Linked DNA regions of Arabidopsis thaliana. The protein of the gene in region 2 interacts with the protein of the main gene of each other region in a pairwise test. Each region holds a gene or a part of one and is shown on either strand. Other genes may lie near its edges.

Region 1 (9,071 bases), on a different chromosome or scaffold from region 2:
AAACAAACTAATATACATAGTCTTAGGCTGTAAATTCATTTTAAAAATTCCACAATATAAGTTATTTATACCTACAATTATTAATACAGAGTCTAGAAATGTATGAGTCTTTCACACATACTTTTCAACGTGTAATCCGTACGGACGCGATTTCTTCTGTTTTCTTTTGTGTTGAAACACGATTTCTTCTCTTCTTTCTCCTTATCTTTTAAGGAATGGCGTAACGTTTTGTGTCTTTTTCCATCTTAATCTGCTTTCTCGACAAAGAAAAGCAGAGAAAGAGAGACTTGTTATACTAAACTCAATCTCTGGCTTTTAGTTTTGTTGTCTCTCTCCTTCAGTTTCCAGGAAAAAATCTCTTTCTCATTAAGCTGTTATATAGATCTGTGTTCATACTCTTCTTCCACAATCTAACCCAAAAAAAAAAAAACTTTATTTCTCTCTACAAATTTCATTTGTTCCATTTTCTCAATTTTAGAACTTAAGAAACCCAAAAAGCAAATTTTTAGTACATTTTCTGGTTTAACTAAAGTAATTAATTTTTGTGTTTTCCATCAAAATTCCACTGGTTTTCTTTAGAATTTTTTTATCTCTCTTTAAGACATGAACTGTCTGTTCTTGTTCAAATCAAAGAAACCCAGAAAGCAACAGAAAGACAACAACAAGAACAAAAGAAAAGGTAAAGAGTTGTTACAAAACTCAGCTCCAGAACTGACGAATCGGAGTGAAACGTCTTCGTTTAATCTCCAGACACCAAGATCGTTGCCTTCTCCAAGAAGTATCAAAGATTTGTATACAGAGAGAGAACAAAATCTTAGGGTTTTTTCTTACGAAGAACTCAGTAAAGCCACTTATGTGTTTAGCAGAAAGCTTGTGATCGGTGAAGGTGGATTTGGTATTGTTTATAAAGGAAAGATTCTCAGCAATGGAGATTCTTCTGATCCTCCACTTGTCGTTGCCATCAAGAAACTCAATCGACAAGGTTTACAGGTAAAAAGTTAATCTTCTCTCTGCTTTGTTGCTAATATAATCATTAGAAGATAAATTAACCAATTAATTGAAGCTAAGAAGTTGAAATAGAAGATTAGATTGATGCAATTATGAAGCAAAATCAAATTTTGTCACTTGTTTGAAGTAAAGTTGAAGAAATTTCGTAATCTTGATATAAAGATTTAGTGGAATGGTCAAATGGAAAAGTAAGTATGAGTCAATGGATGCATTTATTAAGTCAACTTTGTTGCTTTAGTAATATTCCTTTCTCTGTGTTTGAATGGTGTATTAGGGTCACAAGCAATGGCTAGCAGAGGTTCAGTTTCTTGGAGTAGTGAATCATCCGAACGTTGTGAAGCTCATAGGTTATTGCTCGGAAGACGGCGAGACCGGGATCGAGAGGCTTTTGGTTTATGAGTACATGTCGAATCGAAGTTTAGAAGACCATCTCTTCCCTCGTCGATCACACACATTACCGTGGAAAAAAAGACTCGAGATCATGCTTGGTGCTGCTGAAGGATTGACTTATTTACATGATCTTAAGGTAAAATTTCGAAACCCATTAGAGGAAATCTGGTTTTAGACAGACCCTTTTTATTGTTCTTGATATTTTCGGACAGGCACAATGTTAAACATTAAGTTATATTAAATGTGGTCATAGAGACATGATTAGTAGTTTAGGATCGAGACTTCTGTGAACCGGGGATGTGTGTTTAGTGTTTAGATTGGAAGATAATTTCCTATTTATTTGGTTGACAGGTGATATATAGAGATTTCAAATCCTCTAATGTGCTTTTAGACGATCAATTCTGTCCAAAATTATCGGACTTTGGGCTTGCCAGAGAAGGACCTGATGGCGACAATACTCATGTCACTACCGCAGTAAGTTTGGTTTGATATATAAATGTGCATTTTATAAGCTCACTCGTACTTTAAAGTGATGAATCTGTTACAAAGTTTTAACAGTTCTTCTTCTTTCTATGTATAGAGAGTTGGAACACACGGCTATGCGGCTCCGGAATACGTGCAAACAGGTCATCTTCGGTTAAAGAGCGACGTCTATAGCTTCGGTGTTGTGCTCTACGAGATCATAACCGGACGCAGAACCATTGAGAGGAACAAGCCAGTGGCTGAACGAAGGCTATTGGATTGGGTCAAAGAGTATCCTGCTGATAGTCAACGTTTCAGCATGATCGTTGACCCTCGGTTACGCAACAATTATCCAGCTGCTGGAGCTAGGAGTTTGGCTAAATTGGCTGATCTTTGCCTGAAAAAGAACGATAAAGAGCGACCTACGATGGAAATTGTAGTGGAAAGATTGAAAAAGATTATCGAAGAATCGGATAGTGAAGATTATCCGATGGCTACGACTACGACCAAGGAAAGTAGTCAGGTAAGGAGGAGACAAGTTGCAAAACCTGAGAAACAAAGTTTGAGAGGGGTTAGTGTCAGAGGATGATTTTGAGTTTAGAAGTTTTTTTGCAAGTTTATATATTATAAATAAGTTTATGCAATTTGTTGGTTTATTGTGAGATTAGTAGAGAAAATGTATCTTATTGTGTGTTTTGTAAATAAAATTCAATACGGTGAATGAGAATCATTGAGATCAAGTTTTATGAGAGTGTTTTGATGTTGATAGCGTAACGTTTTAGCCAAAGTTTTCTATGTACGAATGCAAATGCAATGTTGTTGTTTGGAATTTATCATGAAAACTTTATACGTTTTAAGCATTATTACATTCTACAAATCTTATTTTAATATATATATATATATATTTATACTTCAATTTATTTGAGTTTCTGGTCCACTGATAATCAAAAAAGATATCTAATTATTTGTTTCAGAAAATATTGTACTACCGATTTCGTGAAGAAAAAGAAAACTGTACTATCAAAAGCATTTGAAGGAAAAAGATATTTTATACCTTTATTTCCCACTTTTCGCAAGTCACCAAATCTTACCACAAAAAGAATCAATTTCAAACTATTGCTCAATCTTATATCAAATCACAAATACGTCATTTAAACTATATAGCAAGTACTTACCAAAAAAAAAACTATATAGCAAGTTAAAAAAAAATGCTTACTCTTGTTTTCTCGTATAATATTCTCATATTTCAACATATTAAAATTTGATTTAACATCTGTATATCCCTCGAAAGACATTGATACCGAAATCTAAAAACAAAAGAAAAAATATAACTCAAACATGCCATGGACTATTATAATTCACATAGGCATTTACATTTTCTCTTCTCATACTCCCAAAATTTCATGTCAAGAAACTATTTTTTTCTTACAAAAAAAGAAAAGAAAATTAAAGGATCTTTAGCTTCTTCATCTTTTTCCCAAGACTTGAAGCTAAAGTTTTAAAAGATCCTTAAGATCTCGAGAGAAAGAGAGAGGATCCAAAACCAGCTTCATAGCGTTAGATACAATATAGCTTATTTTTTTCTTAACCTAATTAATTATAATAATTCTCAAAGTTCCCAGATATTTTTAATTAAGCAGCAGCAACAGTTCCATTGTGAAAAGCATAATCACGAGATCTAGTTGGTGAAGATTGTTCTTTCCTCCGCATAGCTGATTTCACCGAATGAGACAGATTCTGTTTCTTCTCTTTTGCTTCATCTCTCTCTATCTGTTCTTGTCTACACTCTTCACTGCAAAACGGTGTATCTCCTCTGCAAAAAATTCACAAAATCAAAAACTTCAAATCAGACCCATGAAACAACAAAATTAAAAATATGTTCTGTTCTAGAATTTGTACCAAAAACAGAGGAATTTGAAATCAGACCCATGAATCGTTTAATTGATTAATCAGAAGATTGAAGAAATGGGTATTCGAAAAAAATCAATCCTTTCGTAATAATTTCGACTAAAAATGAGAGAAATTGATAGAAAACAAAAAAAAAACAGATCTGATGTTATAGATCTTAGATGTTACCTGTACATGTAGATGTCTCTGTTATCACCAAGAGGTTTCTTACAGAGGAAACACGAGTCCAAGAAATGAGGTTGTTGAATATCGAATCTGAAATCATGAAATCTTCCAGACACAACAGATCTCGGAGACGAAACAGAGTATTGATTGTAATAATAACTCTGACTGTTCCTAAGACTGTTTAATCTACCGTAAGAGAAACGGCTTGAAGAAACGACACCGTTTTGGGGATTTCCATGGTTATTACTATTATTATTGTTACCAGAAAACCCAGCTTCCATTTCTGATAAAGAAGAAGCCAAATTCTCTTCTTCTTCTTCCTCAATGAAATAAGGCTTTCTCGATGAAAGCTCCATTTTTTTTTTTTCTGGTTTTTAGAGAGAAAGTGAAAGAGAGAGAGGTTTTGTTGTTGATGTGAAGAAAGTGTGAAGTGGGATTTTATAGCAAAAGATCTTTTTTTTTTTTTTGGGGTTTAAGAGAGAGAAAGTAAAAACAAGGGGCGAAACTTTGAGAGAGGAGAATCTATTGGCTTTTATGCTATTTTTGAAAGTACAAGAAATCGAAAACCATTTTTGTTGTTTTCCTTTTGAGAAATATACTTTATTGACACATAGAGGAATAATTGATAGAGAGGCGTTACAAAATGGTCTTTTTCGTGACTTACTCGTCCTTCGGTTTTTGAGGAACTTTCGAGAGAGCTAAGTAAAAAAGTTAAATGTTTTTTTTCGACATTCACTTTTTAGTTCAATTATTAACTTTTAATTTTCTTTTTTACTTAGACAACATTATTAAAGTAAAATTATTAACTGATTGTCAATGCAATAATACATGAAGAAGTTGCAAAGTTTGAAAATTTTCGTATGATTAGGAATTACTGTCAAAATTGTTGCATTTTTAACATTATTTTTAAGATATATAGTCGACAAAAAAATTAAGAAAACAATGTAATTATCGTAAATATTTTTTTATGAAATTGATAACTTGTTACTTTACATAATGTGATACAAAAAAAAATTGTTTAAACACACATGAAATCAATAATTATTTATTTATTAATTTCATCTATTTTGGTTTTAGAAATGAAATGATAGAATTTTACTATCTTAGTTATTAATCTCTTGTACAAAAATTATTTTTCTATTAATCATAAATATATCTTATACTAATCAGATTTTTTTAAGTAGTAGTTGGATGGATCCTACTAACAATTTAAAGACAATAATTTCTACAAGCTAATTTTTTAGAGATCAATAAATATATACAGCTATAATTCTACCAGACATTTTAACCACTGTAACTTACGGTGGTGTTACATTGAACAAGTGATCACATCCGTCTAAAGAGAAGTAAACTTTTTCTGAAGGCATTCAAACAAAAGTTTTAAGGTAACAAAAACAAGAAGGAAGCAACAAAATAGCGGCAAGATTGTAATTAACAGAAGTATAAGGGTCACAAATGAAAGTACATAAAACTACATCAGGGTTCCATAAAACAAGGGTCCCACCAGCACTCGAGAGACGTTAAAGAAAATCATGGGGATTCGGGGGAGAGGTGGGCCCTACGCGCGTGGGGTTTTTGGAATAAGCGTTACACCGTAATCACTACACCACTTCTACTACTTGTGTTGTGTTGTGTCTCTCTTCTTCTTATTATATGGCGACAAAATGGTAAGAATATTGTTTTTTACTTAATTTTTTTATTAAATCAAGAATTACAAAATTGTCGTTTTATTTGGTTATGAATTTTCGTGGTGGTGGGTGACGTTTTTGCGAAGACTTTGAGGGAGGTGCTTTGTGAGGTACAACTACAAATAATAGTGGTGCAATGAGGTCGGTGTTTTTCTAATGTTAGAATAGGTGTGTGACTGACTAGTTGTGATTTCGATATTTATGGTAAGTATAGTTTGAATTTCTAATAATAGTGTGGACCTTGTTGAATAGTGGAATCGAAATAACAAATAAGAATTAGTGGAACTCTTGTTTGTATATATTAATTCAATAAATTATGTGATCTATCAATATATGAGAAACAAAGGAAAAAAAAAGTCATTTTATTGTCTATATAATGCAGCTATTTTGTTAAATAAATTATGAAGTTTAGACTTATTTACAATGACTGCCATTTTAATTATTGATTTTTTTCCAGAAATAATTTGATTAACAAACTAAAAATATTCCAAATATATTCCAATCTCATATGTCACGCACATAGTATTCAGCAACTATTTAAAACAATAAATATTTGACAAACAAAAATATAATTGCAATCCCTTAAAATGAACAAAACACACCTAAATACATTCTTTATCTATCCAATAAATCTTTTTTCTCCAAAATTTGAACTAGATTTTGGCAACTATTTAAAACAAATATTTGTTTGACAAACTAAAATACAATTGCAATCCCATAAAATATTTATTTTAATTATATATTTAAATTAGTGGTGTACGGCGGGTTTTTTTTACGGGACGGATTTGGCGAGACGGGTTTGGCAGGATGTTATTTAATAACAATTGTAAACTATAAAATAAAAATAAATAGATTTAATTTGTAAATTTTTATATATACTAATTTAAAAAATAAATTGTCTCTGCGGTATACCGCGGGTTAAAATCTAGTGGGTGAATTAAATTTATATACTTAGAAGAAGTTGAAATTAAAAAAGTAGAAGAGATAATTTAAAAATTAGGTAAATATGAAAGAGAAAAAAAATATAAACCAAAAGTATCTTTCATATTTGGATTAATTACAAAATTGTCATAGTTACAATATGGTTATTATACGGATATATATGCGAAGACGATAACATTATTATTAAAAAGTAACAAAATATTTAGCATATAAAGCAAAAAAGTTGACTTGCGACTTAATAATCATGTAAAAAATACATGAATCAGAATAGTTAGCAGATAACGTATTATCAGAATAACATGATAACAAATATCTCGGTAATACTTATTAGGTTAACATGATAACAAAATATTTATATCAATAAGTTTATAATTATATCATGCTAAGTTATTTTGTATCGTCATAAGTTATAATTTATGTGATATATTTATAGTTACCGTCTTAACTTATTTATTATATCATATAAAAAAATTAACAAGTTACTATAACGTGCAAAATATGAATCTCTTCCAATAAGATTAATATTATCACTACCTCTAGATAAAGTTTTATTTAACTCGGTAATTTAATTGTTAACCAATTTTAAGATGAAAGATAAAAAATGAAAAGGCATAAGAATAATGATGTAATTTTTTTTACTAATGTACTGCATAAGTATTAATATATTGTGTCAGTTAATTTTCTGTTCTTTTATGTATACTTTTTGTAAATATCCTTTCATTAGGATATTTGAAAAGTTTGCATTTTTAAGTTTTAGAAATACGCTTCTTAAAATAGTGATATATTTGGTACGTTACAACGTCCTCAAACGAACTTTAAAGTCCACACCATTAACACCACCGAGTCACCATCACCGTCCCAATTGTTGGTTATACGGTTACACCGCAAAACTGTCATTTATTTCATTTTTGTCAAACAAATATGTTATACTTATATATAGTTATATGCGTGGGTGTGTGTTAATCATTCAAGTAAATATTTGTAGACAGAGATTTTGAAATATTGATTAGCCAACTTTTTTAAACTTGCGGTGTAAATTACCTATGAATGAATACTTTACAAGTTTCGGTAGACTAGCAATTGCCAAAAAAATAAAAGAGTTTGCATACTCAAATTCGTTAAACTATATAAAACAGTATAATAATTTATTGATTGATGGGAATGCAATAAGAGGGGTTTGGAGTGTGATACACCTTACACGAGCAAAGGAATACGTGCAAGCAAATATTTTAACAAGTTGACGTCGCATACTTGCGTAAGGCTCCGATGATACCGAAACCCACTTGTTTGTGTTTCAATCTCCGAACTAAAACCTACCTAATTCTTTTTCAAAAAAAAAACAAAAAAAAACCTACCTAATTATGTTTGTGTACATAAAATATCTATTTCCAAATATTTATAAAATTAATTTTTTAAAAATAAAATTACTTATTTGCCTCCTCATATATTGTTTTGACATATGACTCTTATAATTATTAATTTCGACAAATTCATCAAATATAATTTATTAGTATACAAATCCAATTTATATATCTTTCTTTTACTTATACATTAGTTCTTTTATAAAATAATTTTAATGATGTGTCAAAATATTGTTTATGATGGTAATAGTGTGTCACACTATTCGAACTCAAAACAACATAATCCTAAGAAAAAAACAAAATATCGCTTCTTTACATCGGTTTTTCTATCTTTTTCATAAAATTCATTTTTTATTTTAAGAACATCTCCATCAATAAAAAAAAAATTCAAACAAAAAAATAATTAATATTATAATTTGATTATATGATTTAATTTTTGTTTTGCTTAACAAATTAAATCAATAGTAAGAAATCATGATGAATTATAGAAAATATCTAAAAGAATTTAACATTCTCTTTTTCATTTATATTATTTATATTTTTTTAATTGTTAAAAACTTTCGTGAAAAATTCTCAATCAAAATGGTCTAATCTCTTCTAATTTTCTTTTTTAAAAAATTGTGGTAAAATATTTAATTCTTATTCACTACAGTCTACATGACATGGACTCACCGTCCAAACTCATGAGTATAGGTCCCATTTTTCTGAAGTACCTAGTGACTCTTCCTTTCTCTGCCATTGATTGCCTCGAATTGTTTGCTATTCCGCAGAACCACTCTGATATATGATTACTAGTGTCGATGATAATCAATTTTTCGTGAGATTATTAACACTATAAATTAGTTGTATTACAGAGTCCAAATGTCCAATCATTATTGATGTGTAAATAACAAAAGTTAATTGATCTCGTGTGTGTACTTACACTTATACGCTTAAGTGTTTTACTTGAATTTCAGTTATTCAAACTTACATTCGTAACACGAAAAGCTAAAGTGCTTGCAAAGTTGCAAGTACTTTTCTCTCCAGTTTGAATCATACAAAACTTTTAAATGGACTCGTGAGTAACTTGTGTGTATCAGTCTGACAACAAAATTCAACATGGTGATGTCATTTCCAATAATGAATGCTTCTAGACTTCACCTAAGAA
Region 2 (9,830 bases):
CTTGTTTTAGCTTTTGGCTAGTCAACTCTTTTAGTGACCCACCGATTTCATTAAAATTGGTGGTGAATAGTCAACCCAAATTAGAAAAAATGGTTGATAAATTATTTCTTATTAATTGACACAAAACAAGACAATAGATGCTTTCAGCACTACAATGTTAGTTTGCTAATTTGTGGATTAAAAAGTATATAGCGTTTGTTCGTTCGTGTGATGAAGGGCTATTAAAATCCATTAAAAGTTTGTTTAATAAAAGGTTAACCCATTAAAGGTTTATGCAACTTTAATATGACTTGCATAAATCCCATCGATTAGAGAATATGTACTCTTAAACTTATAAATAAATTTTCTTTTCTGCCGAGGAAATAGTAAAGAATTCTAATAGCATGTCTGCAGATTAAAACAATGTCTTCCTTGTTATATATTTTTCTCGTACTATTTTTTTCGAGCTAGCGAGCACATCGAAAAGAAGTACTATTCGTGCCATTCTTTATATTTGGTTAAGGTTATTAGCGATCACTGAAATGTGTCTCTGCCAATTAATTTTAAACTATTTAGACACGAGAAAAAAAAAATACCAACATGATTATTTTACTCTAATATAGAAGTTGAATTGATGAATATAATACTTCCAAAGAAGGGTATTTTCTTTCTACATAATACAAGATACGAGATGCCTTCGTGACTTCGTCTGTAATTCTGTATACAAAAATAGATTGCATAGGTTTTTCTTAGTGTGTGAGATATATTCATAGGTATACATTTCATTATCACTTTATACTGATTTCAACCTTAATAAGTTAATTTAATCAACTCACTAAAGTATATATTGTTCATTTATCTGTAAATTATCCGGTAAAAAAAAGTATTATCAAGTAGCAACTAGCAAGTGAGTGAGTTAAAGGAGTGAAGGATGAAATGTCCCGTAGCTGTATGGATAAACATTGAAATATGTTAATATATACTTTAGAGAAATTAGTCATATTGCATTGATCTTTTTGTGCAAGCAATTTACAAGTTTTTTTAGTATTTTAATTGGGAGACAAGTGGTATTTGATATCGCGCTAATACTCTCTACTTTGCATGAATTTTCAGCAGTGGATGTTTTAACTTTTAAATAAGATCAGCGTTACCTAGAAATTTGAAAAATAAAGACTTTTTTCATTGCAAAATAAGGTTAATGTTGAATTTATATTAGTTAGTTACTTAGTTTTTATGTCTCATTCTTCAAAATTATCAGCAAATTATAATTTATTTCTGGTATTCTTAATAGTTCTGGTTAAACTAAAAACTAAAGATGATAATTTTGAAAAGAATACTCTTTCTTCTTTTTCCGTATGTTACATTTTGAAGAAATATATACGACATAATATTTGTAACTTTCTCAGAATTCGACAAAAATTCTGATGCGGCAGCTACATTAGAACTCGGAGAGACACATGGATGGATGATCAGCATATCATATATGTAAAGGAAGTTTGGTATACCATATATAAAAATATGTGTCGTGACCCAAAACGAAAACTTAAGTATGAACACCGAAGAGAAAAAAGTATATTAAACACGTGTATATTAGTCAGCTAATACTACGTGTTTATTTAACTATTTTGTTAAACACACAAGCGGAGACGGTGTAAAGTCGTGACATTAGTTCTAAACCGATAATATGATTAGTTGTACTTATATCTAACTTCACACAATCACACTAGACATACATCAAATTATGTTTTAAAATATATGTATATATGTTGAGGTAGAAAACCCAGATGTATGTATATATGCTGATATGCATCATGCATGCGTGTTTGAAAAAGGAGAGATATATTTACCAAATAAAAATGTTTGAAAACGAGAGGATTTGTAATGAGGGCAAGCTGTGTCGAACATTAGAGAATAATTGTATGTTTGGTGATTTGTCTTAAGTAGAAACAGAATATTGAACTCGGACGTTCTTTTTCTTTAGAGTTGTATTTGTTTATTTTAATGACTCCTCCTTTTAAGAATTGTTTGGAATATATTCCTCGGGTAAATTCCGACAACGCTATACTACTTTGTTTATCTTTATTATCATCTATTTTATAGCTTGTTAGGTTTTGCTTTGGTTTCACACGGTGGTACGTTCGCAAAGAGAAACAAAATACTATAATTTGAATCTCTGCTTGGTCATGTAAGTATGAACAAATATTGATATGAGAATGAGAAAATCAAAGGTACATGACATAAATAGCTAAATAACGCAATTTTGAAATAGTAACGACATGCATGCATGATTTCGTTTCCAATATCAAGTAAAATTTGGTCTTAAAAGTTGTTAACCTTCAATTCTATATATATAATTTGTTAACCTTTGAGGAAAATAAAAAATCGAAAGACGTTAGGACAGGATCGAAAGACACCTGCGCGGAGGAGTAAAAGCGGCTCGATGTATTACAGACCTCCACCGTTTTATTTTTCTTTTTGTAAACAATAAATTAAGGAAAGTAAAATTAGGTGCATTGTATGAATAATTAGTGTTTAACCAATCAACAAAGAAGGTTTGAAGAAAATTGGAATTTCTATAATCTATTGAATTATATGACCGTTCACAAGGAATCAAGGACACGATCAAAACGTCCCTATATGAAAAGACATCGAACCATAAAAATAAATAAAAGGTGAATCATATAATAAGCAAAAGCCAAGAATGATTCTGATTCTGATTCAAGAGTGTTACAAAAATAAAAACAACGGTCATAAGAGTTTTGGCACTTGGGAAACTCTGATGCCGAGTCTTGTTCTAAAAAGATCAAAAAACATTTTCAACTGTGTTTCACCAAAACGGTAGATATTTTGTTTTATTCCATTCATAAAATTTTTAAAGATATGAAAATGTGCAAATAAAAAAAGAAAAATTTGCGGCAAGGGAGAGGCCGGAATCAGTGGTGGTGCTCATCGTCTTCGTCACCGTGACCATCCGGAGGACCACCAGGACCAACCACTTCCAGCTGCAAGCATACATTATTCAACCAATTCAATATTCTGAATTCGAAAGCTTAATGAGTTCTTGCTCTAATCCTTTGACAGATTCGTCTGGCCTATGACTATGAAATGAGAGGCTAGGTCGATTTATTTACTGAGTAGAGTATCTGATACGACTTTCACTTACCTCAAAGTACTGAGTGCAAACCGGGCATTCAAAGGACTTTCCTTTCTCCAGCCAGAACCAGACAACATCGTGCTCGTCCTCTGCAGTTTTCAGGAGAAAGTTAGATTGGTAAATAATGTGTCTTGATATATTCAATGACAACAACGATTGCCGATTAAAGATTGTCCATAATATGCGACTAAAGTTTGAAGAAGGGAAGAACTTACCGCCTTCACCACCAGGGCAGCCCACAATTCGCTTGTCATAGTAGGACTTCACAATAGCAGGAGCTTCCTAAGGCAATACAAAATGACATCCAAATTTGTGTATCAAGAAAATGAAAAAATAAGTATCCAATTGTGTAGCCAAAAGAAAATGAATACTGCTCACTCAAAAGATAAAATGACACAAGAAAATGAAAAAATCAAATGTCTTGTCATAGCATGCAAAACAGTCATATACTCCTACATATCTTCAGTAATTTGGAGCAAGTTTTTTATGGATGTTAAGAACTGAATTTCCATGATCTACAGACACTTGCACATGTTGTATGTGACATCCGCAATCTTTTCGTCATTATCGTGCACAAAAGCATCATAGGCAGTGAGCCACCGTAAATTAACAAACACAGCTTAGAGTTAATTTTAATTCACCAAAACCAATATATGATTCAACCCCAAGCTAGTGCTTGATTGAAGGAAATATACTAATTACATTATTCACAAAAAAAAATAAAAATCCAGAAATATGACCAGTGTAATATCAAGATGATTTAGCTCCAAAACGACATAACAAAGTGATTGCTGCATGATATAGTAATCCTGCTAAAGCAATATTATGAACCATAGCAAAGAATGCAAGTTGATCGATATAAGTCAGTAAACCAGCTGGACTCATATTAGTTTTGAAGAAGCAATAAGTTTCAAGATACATACTTATTCTAGTTAATTGAGATCATTGAAACAGCTACATTTATCATAAAGCCATTCATAATACTCGAGCTAAGTTAAGTGTCCTTGGTTTGTTTCACGTATGCCCGTGTGTTAGTGATGAACATAAGAACTATATCATGCCTAGAAACACTGATGACTTTGCAGTAAAAAACAAGGTTAAGATATTCAAAGAGGAGTCACGACATATCTCTGGTAAAAGAAACTTATCTAACCTTAGTTCCAAAAGGACCTTCAGGGAAGTCAATATCATCCAGCCTCCTTCCCTATCACAAGAAAACAATGAAAAAGTCAAAATCAAATTTTCCTCAACTGAAGTGTATTATCAAGCAGAAATATACACTCCATTGGCATTGCTATACCAGAAAATTATCGAGAAGTGAAGTCATGATCACAAACACAATTGTAATCATACTCAGATCTTAAAATTGCAATACATAAAGTAAACATAAGCAATCACCTCAAGTTCAGCTTCAAGCTCTTCCTTCTCGTGTCCAGTCGCAATGGGCATTACATCCTCCACCTTCTTCGTCGCAGGAGTCTCTACTGCAAAATACAATCCGTAATAAACAATCATTCACCTTCCAATTGAGAAGATGAAAACAAAATTGCAGCAACACCAATCTAAGAGACCAACACAGATTTAAGTCTATCCTCTAATATGCGATGAAGAAAACATAGTGAATCGAATCTAATTCCAGCGCAGGTAAGAGTCCTGAGCCGAGATCTGAAAATGCGTAAACTATAGCAACGATGAATCACCTGAATCGGAGCTGAAACGACGAGGGATAACGAAAGAAGATGCGGAAATGGCTGATCGATTGGCGGCGAGATAGAAACCGACAGGTCTGGTGGTGGCGGCTATCGATCGACGAGGAGAAGCAGCGACGACATCGGCGGCTAGGGTTTTGAGCTGAGAGGAGACGATTCTTCTCCACATGGTGATGATGATGAGTCAAAGGAATTTCGAGTGAGATTGTTTTGTGTTGTGATTCTCAGGTCACACCTTGAAGGATTAGCGAAGAAACTCCCCAAATGTTTTATTCTTCCTCAGTGATGATTCTTCTTTGGGAAGAGATTAGAGAGATTCTTAATTTAGAATTGGTCACTTTTTTACTTGGAATCTCGATATTAACCGGTACGTGTGAAACTACATAGTACACACGTGTCAGGGGACCCTATATTGTGTGACATTTCAAGTGGAATTAGTGATACAAGTGGAAATAATGATACAATGATGCATATACTACAAAATGAAATTATGATGAAATGGACATGTAAGGATTATTTTTTCCTCAGTCCAGTTATGCACACAGGCACAAGCAAGTTGCTTTAGTTAGCAACCAAATTCATGTTCCTCGAACCTCGTTGAGAATTCCACAATTCAAAACTTCAAATGTAATACCTGATGGTTTTGGTTTTCTTTCTACTTCTGTCTGTAGCTAGAGGTAATGTTAGCATAAAAAAAATCGTGGTATAGTAGTTTGTGTGTAGAATGTATATATATGTCCATTGAACAAAACATATGAACGATAAAGACGTACACAATTAATAGTTTCTTTCATTATTATCTTATACTCATATCCTCAATAAAATTCTAGATGAATTATTTTTCTCATAGATAAAAAAAATCTACTCGATGTCTCCAAATATGAAGTTTTCCGTTAGTACGACACTAGCGTGAAAAGTTTGCATCCTCATCTTTTTGGTTCAACATTTGGGTTTTTTCTTATGCGGGCTTGCTTCACCAATTGGGTCTTTTGGGCTTTATAACGTTTTATCTTCTCTTGCAACTAAAACAGAAATCCCTAGTGTTGCTAATGTGATACGAATCTGCCAAATAGGAAAAAGCCCAAAAATTGAATTCAAAATAACGAAGGAAATCAGTCAATCACTTAGCTCTAATTATTTTAGTTATTACTTATTAGATACAATAAAATATATAATCAATGTTTTGTTAGTTAGTTTTTCTCTGCACATTATTTATGGCTGATGAAACATGCAATAATAGTATAATACCATGAGTCTTAAAAGACTTATATGCGTTCAGCATTCGTAAATCTAACAAAAACTCCTATTCCATGCAAATGATCACATCATATACATGCATTTACCTTTACATTTTGCCGTTTGATAAAAGAAGACTGACATTTTGTTACGAGTTCGAAATACGTTGAAAGAGATATAGTCAAATATCACCGACGATTATTCCTGATTTAAGAATATTCCATAATAGTTGAACTCTATTTTCCAATGAGTACACGTCATTTTGGATATTGTCAAAGCGACAAGTCACACAAGCAATGTAAAATCCAAACAAAAATATCCTAATCAACAAATAATTAAAGCGAAAAGTGAAGACGAAGACATTTGACAATTGGCAACGCTGCTCCACGCCTTCAATCTTATCCATCTCCTAAATTTTTTTATAATCCAGTGCTCTCATCTCCACCGTACTTATCGTAGTGCACAACGCATTTACCGTTGCACACTCTTTCCGAAAATACCCTTACGTTGATAAAAACCAGTGAAACGAACATTCCACACTATAAAAAACCACACCGCATAGCAGCTGATTCCACCTAAATATCTACATATCCATTTTCTTTTCTTAATCCAAAAATTTACAAATCCTTAATCTTTCTCTTCTTCCTAAAAACAGCTTTGAGCTTTCTCTCAGATAACCACATTTTACCTAACAATGGCTACAATCATCTCCTGCTCCGCTCTTTCCTCGATCCGAGCATCTTCCGAATCGGATCCAGCCCGTAAGAAACCTGTTTCGTCGGTTTCATGGTGGGCTCCTCTTTTTGGCATGTCATCGGAACCTGATTACGTCAACAAAACCGTGAATCTGGAATCAGATCTGGATAAAGCTGAAAAGAGGTCTCTGCGATGTTGTCTCACGGAGGAGAAGGCTAAGCAGCTGCGGAGGAAAACCGCCGAAGCTTCTACATTCCACGACGTTATGTACCATTCTGCGATCGCGTCGCGACTCGCGTCTGACGTTCGGGTCAAGAAGTAACTGGATCGGGTCACGGATCCAGAAATAATCAATAATTCGTCGAACTTAAAATGTCTCTCTTTTATGGGATGAAGAATAACTTTTTGTTTACGATGATACTCAAGAACCGCTTTATTGTGCGGCGTCGTTTTCTGTTTGTACGGTCTGGATCGTGTATGATGTTGCTTTATTGTGAACCGTTGGATCATTAGTTAGTTTAGCTTTTTATTTGTTGTCAGTTGTTAATGCTTTTTTTTTTTTTCCTCAGTTGTTAATGCTAACTGTTGGATCGGTAGATATGTTCAACACGTATAAAGATTAAAATGTTAGTATACAAATATAATTACGATTGCAATCTCAAATATATGAAGTAAATTTTCTTAATTTCACTAATCATGGATACTAATAAGCACTAAATGTTGGATAATTGAACACATCGCCCAAATGATGTTGCTCCTTAGTAATGACGTGGCCTAAATATAACCGTTGATAATAACCTATTCCCTTCTTTTATCTTACGCTGATTACCGCGCAAATTAGCAAACACAGAGTTGAAGAAGCGTATATTAACCACATCTTCGTCTTAAGAAACCTTCTCTCGCGCTTTTCAAAGGCGCGAATTTCTCAAAAGAAACTTCTATAGAAATCTCAAACATATTCATGCAACGATTCTGCGTCTGTTCACCTTCAAGTTATCGTCTCAATCCCATAACATCAATGGCTACTGGATCCGGTTCACTGATTTGGTTCCGGAAAGGTCTCCGGGTTCACGACAACCCGGCTCTTGAATACGCCTCAAAAGGTTCTGAATTTATGTATCCGGTTTTTGTTATCGACCCGCATTATATGGAGTCAGACCCATCTGCGTTCTCTCCCGGTTCGTCTCGCGCCGGGGTAAACCGGATCCGGTTCTTGCTTGAGAGTCTCAAGGATCTCGATTCTAGCCTGAAGAAACTTGGTTCACGGTTGCTTGTTTTTAAAGGTGAACCTGGCGAAGTACTAGTTCGTTGCTTGCAAGAGGTAATGTAGTGTTTCTTATTCGACAGTGTGTTTAAAAGCTGTGAAATTGGTTTACTGTAGACATAGAAATCTGAAATGTTATGAATGGGGTTTTTGGCAGTGGAAGGTGAAGAGGCTTTGCTTTGAATATGATACAGATCCGTATTATCAAGCTTTAGATGTTAAGGTTAAGGTAAAATTCGTTTCATTACGCCTTAAAGTTTTGATCTTGCTTACCACTGATTGAACTATGCGTGTCATTGAGATTTTAGCTAACTCAAGTGCATTTTTATAATCTCTATAGGATTATGCTTCTTCAACTGGAGTTGAGGTTTTCTCTCCAGTGAGCCATACTCTGTTCAATCCCGCACACATTATAGAGAAAGTAAGTGGTAGTGTTAACCGAGTTAGTTTAGATGTTTCATTTATGGAACTGTAATATTTATGTACATTTGTGTGGTTTTCTTGCAAGTTAGAACGGTGGGAAGCCACCTTTGAGTTATCAATCATTTCTGAAGGTTGCTGGGGAGCCCTCATGTGCTAAATCTGAACTTGTGATGTCTTATTCTTCACTTCCTCCAATTGGAGATATTGGAAACCTTGGCATTTCAGAAGTACCATCTCTTGAGGAACTTGGCTACAAAGATGATGAACAAGTAAGAGGTGATCTGTTTTCTTTAGGTCGTTTAACAATTTATCCATCTGAGAATCTTATGCTCATGTAAATGTCTGTAGGCTGATTGGACTCCTTTTAGAGGTGGTGAATCAGAAGCCTTAAAAAGATTGACTAAATCAATCAGTGATAAGGTATGGTCAAGAACTTGGAAGTTTTTCTCTTTTAGAAAAAAATGGTAGGAATCTGCTCGATTGAGTACTTTGTCGGACTGAAGGAAACTTACTCCTGGAGAACTTGAATTTTATCACTTTAAGATTTTAGAATTGATATTCTTACATTGACTTCATAGATTTATATCTTCTTTATCAAAGTCAAGGGCTGAATTCGTTATGGGTTTTATTTGTAGTGTAGGCATGGGTGGCAAACTTTGAGAAACCAAAGGGTGATCCATCTGCTTTCTTGAAGCCTGCTACTACAGTTATGTCACCATATTTGAAAGTGAGTTTCATGACATAGTTTTGCCCACTTAAGCTTCACCCTCGATTTTCCTAATATTTCCATCTAATTCCTGACATTTAAGAAGTTCGGATGCCTTTCTTCGAGGTACTTTTATCAATGCCTTCAAAATATTTATAAGGATGTTAAAAAGCATACATCGCCGCCAGTTTCTCTCCTGGGGCAGGTCAGTCATTGACTTACAGAGCGTTTTTTATACTGCCTGACTGCAGAAAGTTGATTGCTTTACTTTTTTACTTTAGTTGTTGTGGCGAGAATTTTTCTATACCACTGCATTTGGAACTCCTAACTTTGACAAAATGAAGGGAAACCGGATCTGCAAACAGGTAACAACTGTAGTATAGTTTCCTGATGATGTTCCTTCATTTTTTAGATGTTCATGCTTTTTTAGACCAATATTTTTGTTCCATACGCAAACTAGATTCCATGGAACGAGGATCATGCTATGTTGGCTGCTTGGAGGGACGGTAAGACAGGATACCCTTGGATTGATGCCATCATGGTTCAGGTTAGATTTTAGTCAAACTGAATGCCTTTAGCTTTCCTTTTAAGCATCATTTCTTAATCATTCTCTCTCTGAAATTTATAGCTTCTGAAATGGGGTTGGATGCACCATCTAGCGCG

Evidence for each region.
Region 1: the proteins of AT3G15640 (region 2) and AT5G47060 interact in a two-hybrid assay, tested with the Arabidopsis thaliana proteins (one study listed by BioGRID).

Annotation. Positions count from the first base shown.
Region 1 is NC_003076.8:19,112,061-19,121,131, reverse strand, and holds AT5G47060 (hypothetical protein (DUF581)), read right to left. Parts: upstream 4,348-9,071; 5' UTR 4,290-4,347; coding exon 3,937-4,289; intron 3,674-3,936; coding exon 3,493-3,673; 3' UTR 2,915-3,492; intron 2,668-2,914; downstream 1-2,667. Other genes in the region: AT5G47070 (Protein kinase superfamily protein), read left to right, coding at 604-990, 1,283-1,534, 1,750-1,872, 1,979-2,449. UniProt on the Arabidopsis thaliana protein: May act as an adapter to facilitate the interaction of SnRK1 complex with effector proteins, conferring tissue- and stimulus-type specific differences in the SnRK1 regulation pathway.
Region 2 is NC_003074.8:5,294,454-5,304,283, reverse strand, and holds AT3G15640 (Rubredoxin-like superfamily protein), read right to left. Parts: upstream 5,294-9,830; 5' UTR 5,012-5,293; coding exon 4,834-5,011; intron 4,618-4,833; coding exon 4,532-4,617; intron 4,338-4,531; coding exon 4,287-4,337; intron 3,416-4,286; coding exon 3,349-3,415; intron 3,223-3,348; coding exon 3,143-3,222; intron 2,982-3,142; coding exon 2,913-2,981; 3' UTR 2,539-2,912; downstream 1-2,538. Other genes in the region: AT3G15635 (uncharacterized protein), read right to left, coding at 6,498-6,579, 6,767-6,888; AT3G15630 (plant/protein), read left to right, coding at 6,773-7,096; UVR3 (DNA photolyase family protein), read left to right, coding at 7,736-8,095, 8,196-8,267, 8,379-8,459, 8,551-8,730, 8,810-8,881, 9,102-9,188, 9,274-9,372, 9,449-9,532 and 2 more. UniProt on the Arabidopsis thaliana protein: This protein is one of the nuclear-coded polypeptide chains of cytochrome c oxidase, the terminal oxidase in mitochondrial electron transport.